Linked DNA regions of Saccharomyces cerevisiae S288C. The gene in region 1 interacts genetically with each later gene. Each region holds a gene or a part of one and is shown on either strand. Other genes may lie near its edges.

What was found.
Region 2: mutations in SLM2 (region 1) and RGT2 together harm fitness more than expected from each alone (negative genetic interaction), as found in Saccharomyces cerevisiae (2 studies listed by BioGRID).

Annotation. Positions count from the first base shown.
Region 1 is NC_001146.8:536,926-545,572, reverse strand, and holds SLM2 (phosphatidylinositol 4,5-bisphosphate-binding protein), read left to right. Parts: upstream 1-3,691; coding exon 3,692-5,662; downstream 5,663-8,647. Other genes in the region: YIP3 (Yip3p), read right to left, coding at 1-202, 282-305; LAP2 (bifunctional aminopeptidase/epoxide hydrolase), read right to left, coding at 595-2,610; YNL046W (uncharacterized protein), read right to left, coding at 2,751-3,269; alpha-1,2-mannosyltransferase ALG11, read right to left, coding at 5,754-7,400; COPII subunit SFB2, read left to right, coding at 7,662-8,647. UniProt on the Saccharomyces cerevisiae protein: Together with SLM1, effector of the TORC2- and calcineurin-signaling pathways. Phosphorylated and activated by TORC2 under favorable growth conditions. Mediates actin polarization via inhibition of calcineurin-dependent transcription.
Region 2 is NC_001136.10:211,312-220,437, forward strand, and holds RGT2 (glucose sensor), read left to right. Parts: upstream 1-2,039; coding exon 2,040-4,331; downstream 4,332-9,126. Other genes in the region: SCM3 (Scm3p), read right to left, coding at 64-735; Arf family GTPase ARF2, read left to right, coding at 5,218-5,763; 60S ribosomal protein uL29 RPL35B, read left to right, coding at 6,289-6,291, 6,697-7,056; RDI1 (Rdi1p), read right to left, coding at 7,369-7,977; phosphoprotein phosphatase 2A catalytic subunit PPH21, read right to left, coding at 8,351-9,126. UniProt on the Saccharomyces cerevisiae protein: Low-affinity high glucose sensor that is part of the sensor/receptor-repressor (SSR) glucose-signaling pathway, which detects extracellular glucose and induces expression of glucose transporters that bring glucose into the cell.

The DNA.
Region 1 (8,647 bases):
TAATCAAACCATAGTTACTGGAAAAGTACTTCAGGTTATACGCCACTCTGGATTGAACTTCCCCAAAGTTTTGAGGTTTGGAAATTTTCTTGAAATTGAAAAATTCTTGCGGGGTGCGAAGGGTTGCTAATTTAGATTGCAAGGATTGGAACTCGCTCTTAATATTTTCCATGGAGAAGTTTTGAGTGAAACGTGAAACTTGCTATAGAAATATAGAAAAAAGGTTAACGCGTTAGTATAGTTTTTCAATGATGCAAATGTGTTTACAATTTAGAACTTACGGCTAAAGCTCCTAACTGATTCATTATTGGAGTATTTGATGTTATTTTATGCGTATTTGACGGCTGATAGTTCCAAACTCAGTGTTCAAAGCCCTGCAATATTGAATTCAATCTGAATTCTTTCGATTTGTATTTATATTCGTTGTTATTATTTATTTTTTCTTTTTGCCTCGATTGCATGTGACAAAAGTGCAAAATTCGTATCGCACGACACAGAACTCCGCCACTAATTAGAACCAGAGAAGTAGCAATGAAGGCTCATTAGTAGGTTATATTTAATTGTTTACGTATTCATGTTACGACACGTCCCTTTTCAAAGACCTAAATCTTGTTTCACAAGAGCTTTACAGATTGGATGATACGTGTCCTTGAATTTGTCGAAAGTTGCAAGTGCCAATCGACGGTCTACAGAGTTTAATAGTCTGTAACCGGGACGGACAAACTTCATTCTACCTACAGTTCCCAACCAATCGGCCAAATGCTTATATTCTTCTTGCAGCTTGGCAAAGATCTGAAATTTGAACATCTTGAAAACAACTTCCGCGTTCTGTGATTTAACAATGTTATCTTGATAGATATCTAACAGTGCCCTAGATGCCACGGGAAACTTGGCCCAGTCAAAATCTTTTGGTTTCTTGTTGGAATGGCCATTTTGTGTCAAAGTTTCCAAGAACAAAACCAATTGATTTGAATTAAAATCCTTAATGTCAATAGCGTTAAATTCAGACCGGAAATCCTCTGTGGTTTTCAAATGTTGAGCCATTTCGACCCACTTGTCAGCCAATTGATAAACATTATCAGCCAAAGCCGTAATAAAATGAGGCCTTGGTGGCATACCTGGTTTATACAGCCAAGTTTCCCAGTCAACGGAATCCAAAATTTCTTTCTTTTCGGGATAGAACTCATACAAAGTATCCAAAAACTGGAAAGTATCCAATGATTTTTTGGCAAACTTCTTGAAATAGTGTCTAATAAATGGATCAAATTCAGCCTTACCACCCAAAATAGTTTCCAAGTGAAATAGTAAGTTGAACCCCTTTTCGTACGGAACAGTGGAAAAGGCATCGTCAGGGTCAGTGTTATCGTTCAAGTTTTGTACCAAAGTGGAAAATCTTTCAGGATCTTTCATAGAATCAATAGAATTCTGCAAATCGCTCCAACCAATCAGAGCACTGAAATGTCTAGTTGGTTCGCCATGAATGGCACCAATAATTCTTCTTTCTAAGTAAACGGTCCAACCTTCATTCAACCAAAAATGATTCCACGAACAATTGGTCACTAAGTTACCAGACCATGAGTGAGCAAGTTCATGGGCGATGACATCAATGTTGGATCTGTCATGTGCAATCAAGGTGGGCGTAGCAAAAGTCATATTCGGAGACTCCATACCGCCGTAAGGGTACGAATCGACGTTAACTAAGATATCATAAGTGCCCCACTCGTATTCAAAGATAATTTTCTCTGCAGTTTGAATGAATTTCTCTACATCGTTTTCAAATTCCCATTGACAATCTTTCAAACGAAATGGTTCAGTGTAAACTGTGGAACGAGGTCCAATTGGAGCGCTTGACAAATCACCGGAAGCAATACCGATCAGGTAGGCTGGGATAGGGACTTTCTGTTCAAATCTGTAAATATTAGTATCCTTGCTTGTATCTTCAATCCTGATGCCTGAAAAAACCACTGGTAGTGGGGACTCGATAGATGCAGTGAAAGTAGACTTCACAGAGGGAGTATCAAAGCAGGGGAACAAAGACCTCGCATGAATAGCTTCCAACTGTGAAAACACGTACGGTTTACCGCCCTTGGTTTGCTTGCTGTTCAACCATTGCAAAGCGGTGCACTTGTCAGTCGTACGAAATTGAATATTCAAGGTAAAGTTATCGTTGCAAGAAGCGTTATTGATGACTAACCTGGAGCCCAATGGCTCCTTTCTTTGCTCAATTTGAAAATCTGCCTTGGAACCATCAATATGAACCTCCTGGACATCCAAATAGGATGTATCCAGATGTAATTCATCCGATTTATTTTTACCTTCGTGCAGTTTTTTCAATTGGAATGTAACGCTCCCTGAAATGGCTGACTTTTCGAAGGAAACAGACAGGTTTAAATCGGTGTGAAGAACTGCGAAGTCCTTATAATTTGATAAAGTAGACTGATCGTATTCGGGGGAGCGGGAAGGTCTTCTCTGCTCAATTGAAAGAGGCAACATTTTATGAGGGGTGGAAATGTGTATGTTTCTTGAGATTACAGTAAGTAAACCTCGAAATCGAAGCGTGGGCAGGTAAATAGAGCTGGAATGACGAATGACAAATGGAAGCAAGAACATCAATTAGAACACCAAGATAACCTAATACATAAAGCAAACTATACTAAAGTGCGTTTATATAAGTCAAACGAAAAAGTGGAAGAAAAAAAGTGACATGATTTTCCATACGCAATGCCCCCGGAAACTGAAGACGCATTGTGTCAAAAGATGAATGAAAGCCACGACGAAACAGCCGAAAATGGTGACAGGAGAGGGCCAACGAGCCCCGTGAGAAGACCTGTGTAGGGCGTACCCATGAAGGAGGCCCCTATGATTTTCCATTTGGAAACACTCAGGATGTTTTCTGATGACTGGATGATGATGTCCTTGAGGACCAGGAGACAGCCAAAAAATACAATTGAGATCGCGAGCACAACAACCAAAGGCCTTGTGTTGATGTCATAGCGAACATACCTTTCATTGATATGATGCGTAGATGGCGTTACTGACGGTGAGCTGTTGTACATAGAGTTTTTGACTCTCACGCTTTGATTATCCCTAAAATCACCCGGAATTCTGTACTGGGATTCAACCGGCACTGCCTGCTTCTGTACCCTTCTTTTATGCAGCAGCTTCCGCAGTTGGTTAGTGGTTCCGCATTTCTGTGATTTGCTTCCATCTACAGTTGAAGTTTTCCTCTTAAAGAATTGCCCAATTGACCTCTTTGATACGTGCTCCATTAATATCTTGCGCCGAAATTGTCACACTATGCTCACGTATGATTAGTGTATTTATATATGAATAATTCAAATGGCAGGCAGTTTCTTGTTCGAGCCAGCATTGGCGAAAAAAATGCCAAAAGTAGAAGTAAATACGGTAGACACTCCAGCAAGATAAAGCTGCAATATATAACACATCACGGCGATGCTTGTATATTTAGGAGCTCTTACGTCCACCAATGCTAATATATCCTCCTAATGATGGCGCTGATACTGGTAAAAACTCATAATGGTAGTAGTCATTAGCCAATACCTGCCTCTTTTTTCCGGGTCATGCCGCATTCTTTAATCAAAAGGCGATGCAACCTACTACATGAGAAGATGACCGCGCAAGCAAAGGTTTAGGAGAGCGTTATACGCTTTACCCAGCCGTCCATTGCACCATGTCTTACCAACGGAACAGTGCAAGAGCCTCTCTTGACCTCAGAAGTCAATATCAACAACTGGAAGGCAGAATGAGGTCAGAACATTTTAATCCCGCCTATCAACAGCAGCAACAAAAAGGCCAGAACATACCCCTGTCACTACCCTCGTCGCTTGCGCAACGCAATCCTATACCTTACCCTATCGACGCTGTGACTTCCGATCCCACTATCCCGGCTCAGTTGAACGTATATGATCACGATCGGCAAAATTCGATAGTCGATGCTGCGGCTGGCACCAATACGACGCACTCTTTGAACTCTAATAATATTCCATCATCACAAAATAATAATATTAATAATAACAATATCAATAATGTTGGTTCCTTCACTGACCCTTCCATGCTAACGCTGCCAAAAATGTCTTTACATAGCCACCAGAAGCAGTATGATTCTAACCAAAACGATCCTAGGTCCCCTCTGGCGATACTGATACCGACTTCTGCGCAGCCCACTGATGTCTTGTCTGCTAGGTTTTCTGCCTGGAGAAATGTTATTCGTGCCATCTTGGTATATCTCTCTGAGACCGCCTCAATACAGGACGAAATAGTTAGACAGCAACTGAGGTTGTCCCATGCTGTGCAGTTCCCCTTTTTCAGCATTGAAAACCAATATCAACCGGTCTCTAATGAAGACAAGTCCATGCAGAAATTTTTTCTGCCCTTAGGAAGTGGATCCGTTCAAGATTTGCCCACGATGCTGACCAAGTATCATGATAATCTGGCCTCTTTGGCATCGAAAAGTTCCAAGGAGTTGACCAGTGAAATTATACCCAGGCTAGAGGATTTGAGAAGAGATTTACTAGTCAAGATTAAAGAAATTAAGGCTTTGCAATCTGATTTTAAAAATTCCTGTAACAAAGAGCTTCAGCAAACTAAACACTTGATGAAGCTTTTTAATGAATCATTAAAAGAATGTAAATTAGGTACACCAAAGAGTGACCCATTTTTGATAAAATTGCAATTGGAAAAGCAAATCAAAAGACAGTTGGTGGAAGAAAATTATTTGCACGAGGCATTCGATAACTTGCAGAATTCAGGGGCCCAGTTAGAAAGTGTTATTGTAATGGAAATACAGAACGGATTGACCAGCTACGCTAGAATTCTTGGCAAAGAAGCCCAAGTTGTATTTGACTCAGTTATCTCTAAATTAGATTCCACGATACTGAACAAAAACACGAATCTTGAATGGGATAGTTTCATTCTAAGGAATATTTCCAATTTTGTGCCTCCAAATTTACCCATGAGGAGGTTTAAAGAGATCTCGTATAGCAATCAAAACGATCCTTTTACTTTTGAAGTTAAATCTGGGTTTCTGGAGAAAAGATCAAAATTTTTAAAGTCATACTCACGTGGGTTTTATGTCCTCACTCCAAGCTTTTTACATGAATTTAAGACACCAGATAAGCATAAATTTTCCACACCGTTAATGTCAATACCATTAGTGGAATGTACTGTCACTGAGCATTCCAAAAAGACGAAATCCAACTCAGAGCAGGGCAAGAACAAGTTTATATTGCGTACGAATTCTAACGGACTAATACATAGGGGTCACAACTGGGTATTCAAAGTAGACTCTTATGACGATATGATAGAATGGTTTGGAAATATCAAAGCCTTATCAAGTTTGCCCAACTATGACGACAAATGCAAATATGTGAGTAAAGTTGCCAAACTGTCTAAAGAAAAAGCCAAGAGTAATGAAAACACCACGGAGAGCGTGACCCCCCAGGTAACTAATGAGCAACATACGAGATACGATGATGTGAGTAGTAGCAATTTTCCCTTGAATTCCATTCCAAAATTAGACAATTTGACAATCACTAACACCACGTCATCGATACCGGAAACGAATGATTCACAAATTCAGAATAGGGTTCCTGAATTTTACATTGAAAATGTAGATTCCCCTAGAAAAAGCAATCAGCTGTGACAAGTAAGTTAATTATATAGTAATGCTCTAGTTTGTATGTAATATTATGTATAAGTTTTCTCATAAACAAGGCTTCTATTTTCAAAAAACATCAGCCCCTTTCCTCCTCTTCTAATAATTTACAAATAGGATTCAGTACAAAGTTTTCCCAATCTTTATCAAACTTCAAATCAGAGAATTTATACAATGAATACTGCTGGTTTCTTGCGCCCATCACCCTTAGGCAGTCATAGTCCAGTTTCGTAATTTGTAAGAAAAGGTCGGACAAATTAGGGTATCTCAGAGGATCTTTGGTTGTGTTATAATCAGGATCACTCGGCTCTTTAAAGAAAAATCCAGTAGTTTCACCATCATCTTCGAGTTTTGCAAAATATTTCTTTTGTAACTCCCATTGTGGTGGAGCTTTTCCGATATTCCCGTTGGCATCCCATGGAGTAACTATATCTAACAATGGGCCCGCCGAGGCATGAACTATGGGGATCAAACCGGAAGCCATATACTCTACAACTGCAATTCCAAAGTGCTCATTCCACATGGCATTAACACCGAAAGTAGATTTGTTTAGTAATATTTCAATCTTATCGAAGGGCAGATTTTTTTCGAATGATATCAAATGTTTAGGAATTTTTAATACATTTTCTGACCAGTCTTGTAAACTTTTAACATAATTTTCATCTTGCTTGGATCTAGTGGACCCCGCCATTATCAATTTAATTGGCGATACAGAATCCGGTAAATTTTTCAAGAAAGTTGCAAAGGACTCAATGATTAACTTATGACGTTTCTCAGGACGAAATTGTGCCAACACAATTGCTTGATTTAATCTCTCACCCTTTGCAGTACCAAACTTTTGCTTCCAATCTACTAATTTCTCAGTAGAGCATGGAGGATATATAATTTTACACGTATTGGATTGCCAAATTTGCTTTATGTGGTTATTTGTCCATGTTGAGTTTGTGATTACAATATCAATTTTAGAACCAATGGATTGATAAATTAACATAAAAACTTTCCAGTATAATATTTTACCGTAAACTTTGATACCCTTCTTGGGCATTTTGAACAGCTTATTTAACATGTCTTTTGACATTATCGGATAATGCGTATATGTGACGATAGGAATTCTCCTCAAAAACCTAGCAATAATAGGATAGCTGAAAGGGTACCCCATTGTATCAATCCATATATCAGGTGGACACTGAATAATGGATTCAAATGCGAGAATCATTGATCCAATTGCTTGTCCAATCAACGTGAAATGCTTCCATGTTGAAGAATCCACCAAGTATCTTAGCTTCAATGAAATGAAAAATATTCTATCCGAATCCAAGTCGTAATCGAACTTCGCTTTCACATTATTTAGAATATTCTCCGGAGTAACATTCTCTCCATTCACAAAATCCCCTGAATAAATGACAATAACGTTCTTAGCATCTTTTCTCAAAGTGATATCTACAGCTTTCCAGAGCACTTTTTCCCCACCACCACCAGCATTACAATACGGATGAAAAAAACCAAAAACTTTCACATTCTTCTCACCACAGGAGGCAACTGCTCTGTTCAGTAATGAAGATTTTTTGGAGAACGGATTCAAGCTGGAATACACCCATTGACGGAAGATCCACGTGAGAACCTTAATTAGTCCATACACTAGTACTAAAGATGATACAACATATTTTTTGAACCCAAAATGAGACTTAACCTCTTCAAAATTGTAGTTTGTCCAAGCACTGCCCATTTTCGCCTGCAATCACCTGAACATGTTGGTCACACTTGGATACTAACATCTATCTTCACTTCACTTACCTCTCAATCTTATTATTTATTGAACTTTTCACTTTTTGTTTAGCTTACCCGAAGGACATAGATGTAGCGATGACAACGATGAATGATACGTCAGTTAAAAGGGTCTTCGTCGAACTCTTCATCTAACCCTTCATTTGCAGTGTGCTTGGTTGATGAACCTTCTTCCATTAATGATCGACAGCTGCAGTGAATAATGTCTCATCATAAGAAGAGGGTGTACCCTCAAGCTCAGGTGCCATACATTGCAAGTATGCCAATAGTTGCAGAGCAACAGCAGTCTCAACAACAAATCGACCAAACAGCTTATGCAATGGGCAACCTACAATTGAACAATAGGGCTAACTCATTTACACAGCTAGCTCAAAATCAACAGTTTCCTGGTTCTGGGAAAGTGGTCAATCAACTATACCCTGTGGATTTGTTTACAGAATTACCTCCGCCAATCCGTGACCTGTCTTTACCACCTCTTCCAATCACCATTTCTCAGGATAACATTGTGACTCCATCCGAATATTCAAATGTTCCATACCAGTACGTCAGATCTACTTTGAAAGCGGTGCCAAAAACAAACTCTCTGCTGAAGAAAACGAAGTTACCATTTGCCATTGTTATTAGACCATATTTGCATTTGCAAGATTCAGACAACCAAGTACCGCTAAATACTGACGGAGTCATTGTCCGCTGTCGCCGTTGTCGTTCATATATGAACCCTTTTGTCGTTTTCATTAACCAAGGGAGAAAATGGCAATGTAATATATGCCGTTTCAAAAATGATGTCCCATTTGGGTTTGATCAGAACTTACAAGGCGCTCCAATCAACAGATATGAAAGAAACGAAATTAAAAACTCTGTCGTGGATTACTTGGCTCCCGTAGAATATTCTGTTAGGGAACCCCCACCATCTGTTTATGTATTTCTTTTAGATGTTTCTCAAAACGCTGTCAAAAATGGTTTATTGGCTACTTCTGCCAGAACCATTTTAGAAAACATAGAATTTCTACCAAATCATGATGGAAGGACCAGAATTGCTATTATATGTGTTGATCATAGCCTTCATTATTTTTACGTTCCTTTGGATGATGATTATGAAGTATCGGATGAGGATGATGAAGAATCAGATGGTGAAGAAGAAGATGAAGACGAGGAAGAGGAAGACGTTGATAATTCAGAAACAATTCA
Region 2 (9,126 bases), on another chromosome or scaffold:
ACTCATATATATATATATATATTCTGATGGTAATGAAATTCGAATATACGGCATTTTAGCACCTTAATCTCGTAATATCCTTTTCGAGAGTTTGGCCTCGTACTTCTTGAAATCTGCGTCTATCAATTTCTCGTCTTTTTCCTCTTCAGTGTCGTTGTCAGCATCCACCTCTGAATCGCTTGCCTCGCTATCGTTAGCCCAAAGAGTATATTCATCATTTTTATCACCATCTTCCTCGTCGCTGATGTCGATAATGTCTCTGAGCACGCTTGTGTATTTTGTTCTTTTATCTTTCGTGCTGTTGTTGGCCGTCAGCGTCTTGATATGCCCATTATCTTCAACTATTTCACCAGTTTTCAGGTCTACGAGGTCTCCTTGTTCTTCAATAGACTCGTATTTGCTTATGATGTTGGACCACACTTTTCTCATGTTTTCGTCTGCTAGTTTGTGGCGCTCCATGACTTCATCATCGGTTAGTTTAGGGATGATGTGGTTTTCCTTGGACATTATATACACATGACCATTTCTTTCAGCAATTGGCCGTGAAATTCCATCGTCCTTTTTGGTCTTCCGTTTTTCGATATTTGGCGGATATACTCGATGAACAGGATTGCAATCGCTATGTTTTCGTATTTTGGACTCACTCTTCTTGCCGGACTCTTTCAATAGTCCTTTTAAGGCACCATGGAGATTTTTCAGGCTTCTTCTTTTAGAAATTTTCTTATTGGTTTTCATCCTTCTGTTAATTTGTAGTGGAGGCGTCGATATGCTGTATCCCACTTTTTGTTTATATATCATCTGATCCATTAGCTGAAAAATCGCGGTACTGAAGCTTTTTTCATGGCGCCCTTGAAACTTTCTCCTTCCGCCTGCGCATTATATAAAATACGTTACAATAGGAAAAGATGACAGTTACTTAAAGTAAAGCTTCACAGCTTCAGACAAAAAAAGTATGAAACTTGTGAAGATGTTTTTATGCTGATCCGGCAGACGGCCATTCCATTATTTAGTTCTGATTTTAGTGGAAAAACTTTCGAAACTTAAAATAATAATAGCCCATTCTTGGACTGAGGTACATTTTCTTCTTATTGGATTTCGTTTATTAGCTGTTTAACATATTTCTGTAGGGTTTTTTTTTTTTTTTTTGTACAGATTAGAAACCATACAGTGTAAACCATTATATAGGTCAATTAATATATTTATAGATCATCCTGTCAATTTTTTTTTATTTTTTTTTGCAAAGCTCCCTTTTTCCTGAAACCAACAACAAAATATAAAAAAAAAATGATAAGCAGGATTTTTTCTTTTAATAATTCCTTAAAATTAACTAACAAGCTGAAGCCCTTACAACAAAGTAAGTCAAACCCAATTCACAAAAAAAAAATCTGTTTTATTTCAGATATGCAGGGTATATACATGGCACAGATAACCTTTTAATGAAAAGTAGCAATTGTGATACTAGCGCCTTTTTCCTTGCAAGAAAAGGGTTCCCTGTTCCTGCATCGTCCATCGGCATAGAGATGTCGCCGCTACCCTATCCAATTCTACCGCATGCCTAACAAAATGATTTCCGATTTTTTCAATCTAACTCCGTCATTTCTTATCTGAGTTTTCCTCCCCGAGATAAATTGAACAAAGAATTTAATCGGCTCATATGTGAAAAAGTGTGATACTTACCGCAATGGGCAAAAATTATTAAAAAAAATCTAATTCCGCGCTTGGCTATTATCTCATTACCGACTCAACGGTGACTACCTGCCGTACACGCTTCCCCTTTGCTTCTTCCTCCACCTCGAAAGTAGAACATATACATGGAACAGACATAAGCTCTTCAGCGTATCTATTTCATAAGTGGAGAGCATCGAACAATAAACCTTTGCCTAATTTCATATAACATCCAGTATTCATTTTTTTTAGTTGACGCTAAGGCATTCGCTTGTGAAATTAAAGAGCAGATCAGGAATAGTATCAATAGTCTAAACCATCAAGTTGCACAGAAACCACTATATATATATGGAAATATCTCGAATATTGCTTGTATGAACGATAGCCAAAACTGCCTACGACAGAGGGAAGAAAATAGTCATCTGAATCCTGGAAATGACTTCGGCCACCACCAGGGTGCAGAATGTACGATAAATCATAACAACATGCCACACCGCAATGCATACACAGAATCTACGAATGACACGGAAGCAAAGTCCATAGTGATGTGCGACGATCCTAACGCATACCAAATTTCCTACACAAATAATGAGCCGGCGGGAGATGGAGCTATAGAAACCACGTCCATTCTACTATCGCAACCGCTGCCGCTGCGATCGAATGTGATGTCTGTCTTGGTAGGCATATTTGTTGCCGTGGGGGGCTTCTTGTTTGGGTATGACACTGGACTTATAAACAGTATCACGGATATGCCGTATGTTAAAACCTACATTGCTCCGAACCATTCATATTTCACCACTAGCCAAATAGCCATACTCGTATCATTCCTCTCCCTAGGAACATTTTTCGGTGCGTTAATCGCTCCCTATATTTCAGATTCATATGGTAGGAAGCCAACAATTATGTTTAGTACCGCTGTTATCTTTTCCATCGGAAACTCATTACAGGTGGCATCCGGTGGCTTGGTGCTATTAATCGTCGGAAGAGTGATCTCAGGTATCGGGATCGGGATAATCTCTGCTGTGGTTCCTCTTTATCAAGCTGAAGCTGCGCAGAAGAACCTTAGAGGTGCCATCATTTCCAGTTATCAGTGGGCTATCACTATTGGGTTACTCGTGTCCAGTGCAGTATCGCAAGGAACTCATTCCAAAAATGGCCCGTCTTCATATAGAATACCAATTGGTTTGCAGTACGTTTGGTCAAGTATTTTAGCTGTGGGCATGATATTCCTTCCAGAGAGTCCAAGATATTACGTCTTGAAGGATGAACTCAATAAAGCTGCAAAATCGTTATCCTTTTTAAGAGGCCTCCCGATCGAAGATCCAAGACTCTTAGAGGAGCTTGTTGAAATAAAAGCCACTTACGATTATGAAGCATCGTTCGGCCCGTCAACACTTTTAGATTGTTTCAAAACAAGTGAAAATAGACCCAAACAGATTTTACGAATATTTACTGGTATCGCCATACAAGCTTTTCAACAGGCATCTGGTATCAATTTTATATTCTACTATGGAGTTAATTTTTTCAACAACACAGGGGTGGACAACTCTTACTTGGTTTCTTTTATCAGCTATGCCGTCAACGTCGCCTTCAGTATACCGGGTATGTATTTAGTGGATCGAATTGGTAGAAGACCAGTCCTTCTTGCTGGAGGTGTCATAATGGCAATAGCAAATTTAGTCATTGCCATCGTTGGTGTTTCCGAGGGAAAAACTGTTGTTGCTAGTAAAATTATGATTGCTTTTATATGCCTTTTCATTGCTGCATTTTCGGCGACATGGGGTGGTGTCGTGTGGGTGGTATCTGCTGAACTGTACCCACTTGGTGTCAGATCGAAATGTACCGCCATATGCGCTGCCGCAAATTGGCTAGTTAATTTCACCTGTGCCCTGATTACACCTTACATTGTTGATGTCGGATCACACACTTCTTCAATGGGGCCCAAAATATTCTTCATTTGGGGCGGCTTAAATGTCGTGGCCGTTATCGTTGTTTATTTCGCTGTTTATGAAACGAGGGGATTGACTTTGGAAGAGATTGACGAGTTATTTAGAAAGGCCCCAAATAGCGTCATTTCTAGCAAATGGAACAAAAAAATAAGGAAAAGGTGCTTAGCCTTTCCCATTTCACAACAAATAGAGATGAAAACTAATATCAAGAACGCTGGAAAGTTGGACAACAACAACAGTCCAATTGTACAGGATGACAGCCACAACATAATCGATGTGGATGGATTCTTGGAGAACCAAATACAGTCCAATGATCATATGATTGCGGCGGATAAAGGAAGTGGCTCGTTAGTAAACATCATCGATACTGCCCCCCTAACATCTACAGAGTTTAAACCCGTGGAACATCCGCCAGTAAATTACGTCGACTTGGGGAATGGTTTGGGTCTGAATACATACAATAGAGGTCCTCCTTCTATCATTTCTGACTCTACTGATGAGTTCTATGAGGAAAATGACTCTTCTTATTACAATAACAACACTGAACGAAATGGAGCTAACAGCGTCAATACATATATGGCTCAACTAATCAATAGCTCATCTACTACAAGCAACGACACATCGTTCTCTCCATCACACAATAGCAATGCAAGAACGTCCTCTAATTGGACGAGTGACCTCGCTAGTAAGCACAGCCAATACACTTCCCCCCAATAAAAACCAATAGCATCTTACGATCGTTCGAGGTCTTATAAACCGTTTTATATAAATTATTCTTATACACGCACTCTTGAGTTTCTTTTAACATTCCAACATGATAGACATAGAAAAGAATTATAGATAACACATAACATTACTCACAAGTAGCCCATGAGTTTGATTTTTCCTCGTTAATTCGGTGTCAAGTGGAATACAAAATGGGTCAACTGATCATAACTATTACCCGGATAATCTACATCATGTGGTACGTTAACGATGTATGGTTTCCTAAATCACCGGGTTCCAGATGCGGGTTGTTGTTGTTCGATCTTGCACCTCCACGTACTCCTTTTGAATAGTACACATATACCCTTACAGGAGATCGGACGTGTGCGATTATTGTTACCTCGTCACCTGTTATCGGTTGAACTGTTTTAGCTCTTTCCATTCCCTTTGTTAATAGTAGTTTAATTCTTCGGAAACTTTCTACGCAGACTCAAGTTGCAATAGGCTAAAGATAAGGCAGACACTTTGTATGTAACGAGTTTCATTAGGAGGGATAGACGCACGACACTATCTGGTACTACGTGTTATATCATACCCAGAAGGAAGGACTCTCTCCACTGAACGGTGGGATGAGTTCCTAAAGGCGCCCCTTTATTTGATCAGGAAGCCGTATTGATTATCTAATAGGGCCTAGTTATCCTAATTGTGGGGAGTCGAGCAGTACGGCTCTGATGTTTTTCGAACGAAGATAAGGAGTTGACATACAAAGTCAACAGAAGTTCTTCTTGTTAGCGTCTCTGTGCTCAATATCTCTCTTTTTTTCTTTAAGTAGTAATTACTAACATCAGCCAACCAATAGAGATAAAAAAAAAAGGAATTAAGATTTCATAGAGAAAAGATGGGTCTATACGCTTCTAAGTTATTCAGCAATCTTTTTGGCAACAAAGAGATGCGTATACTTATGGTTGGTCTAGATGGTGCCGGTAAGACCACCGTTTTGTACAAGTTGAAGTTGGGCGAAGTTATCACTACCATTCCAACCATTGGTTTCAACGTTGAGACTGTCCAATATAAGAACATTTCCTTCACTGTCTGGGACGTCGGTGGACAAGACAGGATTAGATCTTTATGGAGACACTACTACAGAAACACCGAAGGTGTTATTTTTGTCATCGATTCCAACGATAGATCGCGTATTGGTGAAGCCAGAGAAGTCATGCAGAGAATGCTGAATGAAGATGAATTGAGAAATGCTGTCTGGTTAGTCTTCGCTAACAAACAAGATTTGCCAGAAGCCATGTCTGCTGCTGAAATCACCGAAAAATTAGGTTTACATTCTATTAGAAACCGTCCATGGTTTATCCAGTCTACTTGTGCAACCTCGGGTGAAGGTCTGTACGAAGGTCTGGAGTGGTTAAGCAACAACTTGAAGAATCAATCCTAATCTAAATCTGTATAGAACGTTTAGTCATGCGGACCTTGTGTGTTTTGTTTCTAGATTGTTTTATTTTTATGATTGTTGAAGATATAAACCACTGTATAGTTGTATAAGATAGGATAATGATGGTGCACTGAAAATAAACTTACTAGCTCTTTAATATTGCAACGGCTTGTAACGGGCGCCATGATGACATTCAGAATTATACCACTACTATATGAAAAAATGAAAAGAGGCCCTGCTTTGAACCCGTACATTTTATTCTATAATATTGCATCTGTGGTTTGCCTGACGGCAGCGAGTCCAACACAAAGTCTGGCATATGCTACGAATTTTCCACCATGGATTCAGCACCCAAACATTTGAATTTTTTTTCATGTCGATTGTGAAATTTTACTGAAGATGAGGGTAAATAGAGGCCTGCAATCGTCATCATATGAGAAATGGATATATTGAAAATCTACTCACATCTCTTTTTTGGGGGTTTGGTAGTACAGTGAGAACACGATAAAGAACCAAATAGGACTAAAAATGGTATGTAGAGATGAATATACATGAAACGGACGTGATATAATGTGCTATGGAAGAAAAAAGTCTCCTTTAATGTCTGCAGGATAAATAATCAAGTGGTCTGAAGAAAATTTACAGCTACAGTATTACTGCAAACCTTGCAGGCAAATATCAGAGAGATCTCACCAGCTACAACTTGGTAACAGAAATTTATAAGTTTATGGCACTTGTTAAAATTGTTTGGAAGTTTTCGAAATTATAATATTGGTCTTCAGAAACCTGGAACCACATGTGAACTATTTTTTTTGGATAATGCATTGCACAGAGCGTATTAGTGTATACGAGAATCTAAAAATTTGAAACTGGCTCATAAAAACAGGAACTTTTACTAACAGTTATGATTTTTTGTTCCCATTTTCTTATCAATAGGCCGGCGTTAAAGCTTACGAACTAAGAACCAAATCCAAGGAACAATTAGCTTCTCAATTGGTTGACTTGAAAAAGGAGTTGGCTGAATTGAAGGTCCAAAAGTTGTCCAGACCATCTTTGCCAAAGATCAAGACCGTCAGAAAGAGTATCGCCTGTGTCTTGACCGTCATCAACGAACAACAAAGAGAAGCTGTTAGACAATTATACAAGGGTAAGAAGTACCAACCAAAGGACTTGAGAGCCAAGAAGACCAGAGCTTTGAGAAGAGCTTTGACCAAATTCGAAGCTTCCCAAGTTACCGAAAAGCAAAGAAAGAAGCAAATCGCTTTCCCACAAAGAAAGTACGCTATCAAGGCTTAATTTCGTTAGATTATCATTTTAATATTTGATTTTTGGATATAGTTTAATTTGTATTTTTTAAGAACACCAAACGGCAATTTATTTTATTAGTGATCTACTAGCTAAATCAATATACTACATTAAATTTTTATTTGCCATCTTTGTCATAGGATCCGACGTCATAATCAGTCAGGAGCCCTACCCCTATACTTCAATTTGAAATTAAGAAAAAAAAAGTGTAGTAGAACAGGAAAGTCGTATTAATCCATATGTAGATAAAGGTATGCTCTTGTTTATACAGGCCATATCTACATTGTGCATTTCAAGAACTTATTATTTTTTGACAATTTCGACCCCCCAATTTAAAGTCAAGTGGTTAGTTTTATCATCATCAATGAATTTTGATACGGCACTGTAGTTACCTCTTGCTAAAAACCCACTAGGTGCTTCACTTTCCGGTAGTTCCACCTCATAAAATGGTTTGGTCTTGGTATTAGGAGCATACGATCCCAAATGATCGTCTATCTTGTCAACGGCAATACCCGCTTTTTTGATATACTGGACATATCGCAACCCTGTGATAATTTCATGTTGAACTTTGAACACAATCTTCAACTTATAAATAGAATTTTCTTTAATTTTGTATCTTTTAGATGCCAGTTCTTTGATTGTCTTTTCGTTGGTAAGATCAAATGTGATAGGATTTGGTTCTGTATTGACTAGTAATTGAATTTTTTGAACAACCACCTTCCTTTTGTCACCGGGAAATTCCAATGGCAAGACGTCTGAACTTAGACCCAAAGACTCTTTCCATTTCGCCAAGGATTCGTCTTCAGCATCCAGATTTTTGTATTCGTCAACAGTTTTTTTGGCTGAAACTTTATACTGATCGTTGTTTCTCTCCTCTTCGAATTGACTAAAGTCGGTACTTTCTTCGGCCATTATTCAGTTTTTCTCTAATAAAAAAGCTCAATACTCGAGTTATTCGTGTGGCTAGAAAAAGAATCAAAGTAATACAAGCAGCCTGAAGAATGGAAGTTCTTTCCACTCAATCTTTATAACGTTTCCCTGATCTATCGCGAAATTTAAACGATCGCGTTAGAGAACCGTTTCACCCGGAGTAATGATCAGAATGATTAAAGCGTTGGGGAGGAAAAAAAGCCTCGTATTGATTGATATATCTGAAGAATAATAAAAGAAGAAAATTTGCAAGGCAATTTGCAGTTTATTTTTGGCTAAATGTGTAATTAACTATGATAATGGTAAAGGAGAAAAGTGAATATATATCTATATAGATGCATATATGTATACATACTCATAAAAAGTAATCTGGCGTCTTTCTGCTGACGCTAGGTTCACCTGGTCTTACGGATGGGTCGTACTGTAAGAATTGTCTATTATGATTCTCGTCCACTTCCATGATAGCTGCTTGATTACCACATCTGTAGCAGTAATTAGGAGCACTGAAAATGGTGACAACATTTTGCTGGTGAGACCAAGCATAGCCTTCCATTACCAATTGGTGAGCTCTTGCTATTAGTGATAGATCATTAGTGTGATTGAATTGCTCACTGACATCTTGTCCAAAAGTGAAGCCTGCACCTCTGGGACTGATTCCCCATCCGCCTCTATCGTCAGGGTCTGACCATAGAAGGTCACACATAGGACCTTCATGAGGCACTTCCTGTATTCTGTTCAACTCTCTCACCTGATCTATGGTTTCTATCATGGGGGAAAGTCCTCCATGCAGACAGAAAATTTTATTATCTACTAATGCGGTTATAGGAAAATAATCGAAAAGATCTGTGAACATTTTCCACACGTTTGCACTGCCGTACTTTCTCAAACATTCATCATAAAACCCGTATACTTGGGTAATCTGCCTAGACTCGTGATTGCCTCTCAGTATCGTAATTCTATGTGGGTATCTGACTTTCATGGCAACTAGGTAAGATACAGTTTCAACAGAATAATATCCTCTATCCACGTAATCACCCATGAAAAGGTAATTGGTGTCAGGACAAGGGCCACCAATCTTAAAAAGTTCTAACAAGTCATGGAATTGACCGTGTACGTCACCACAAATGGTAA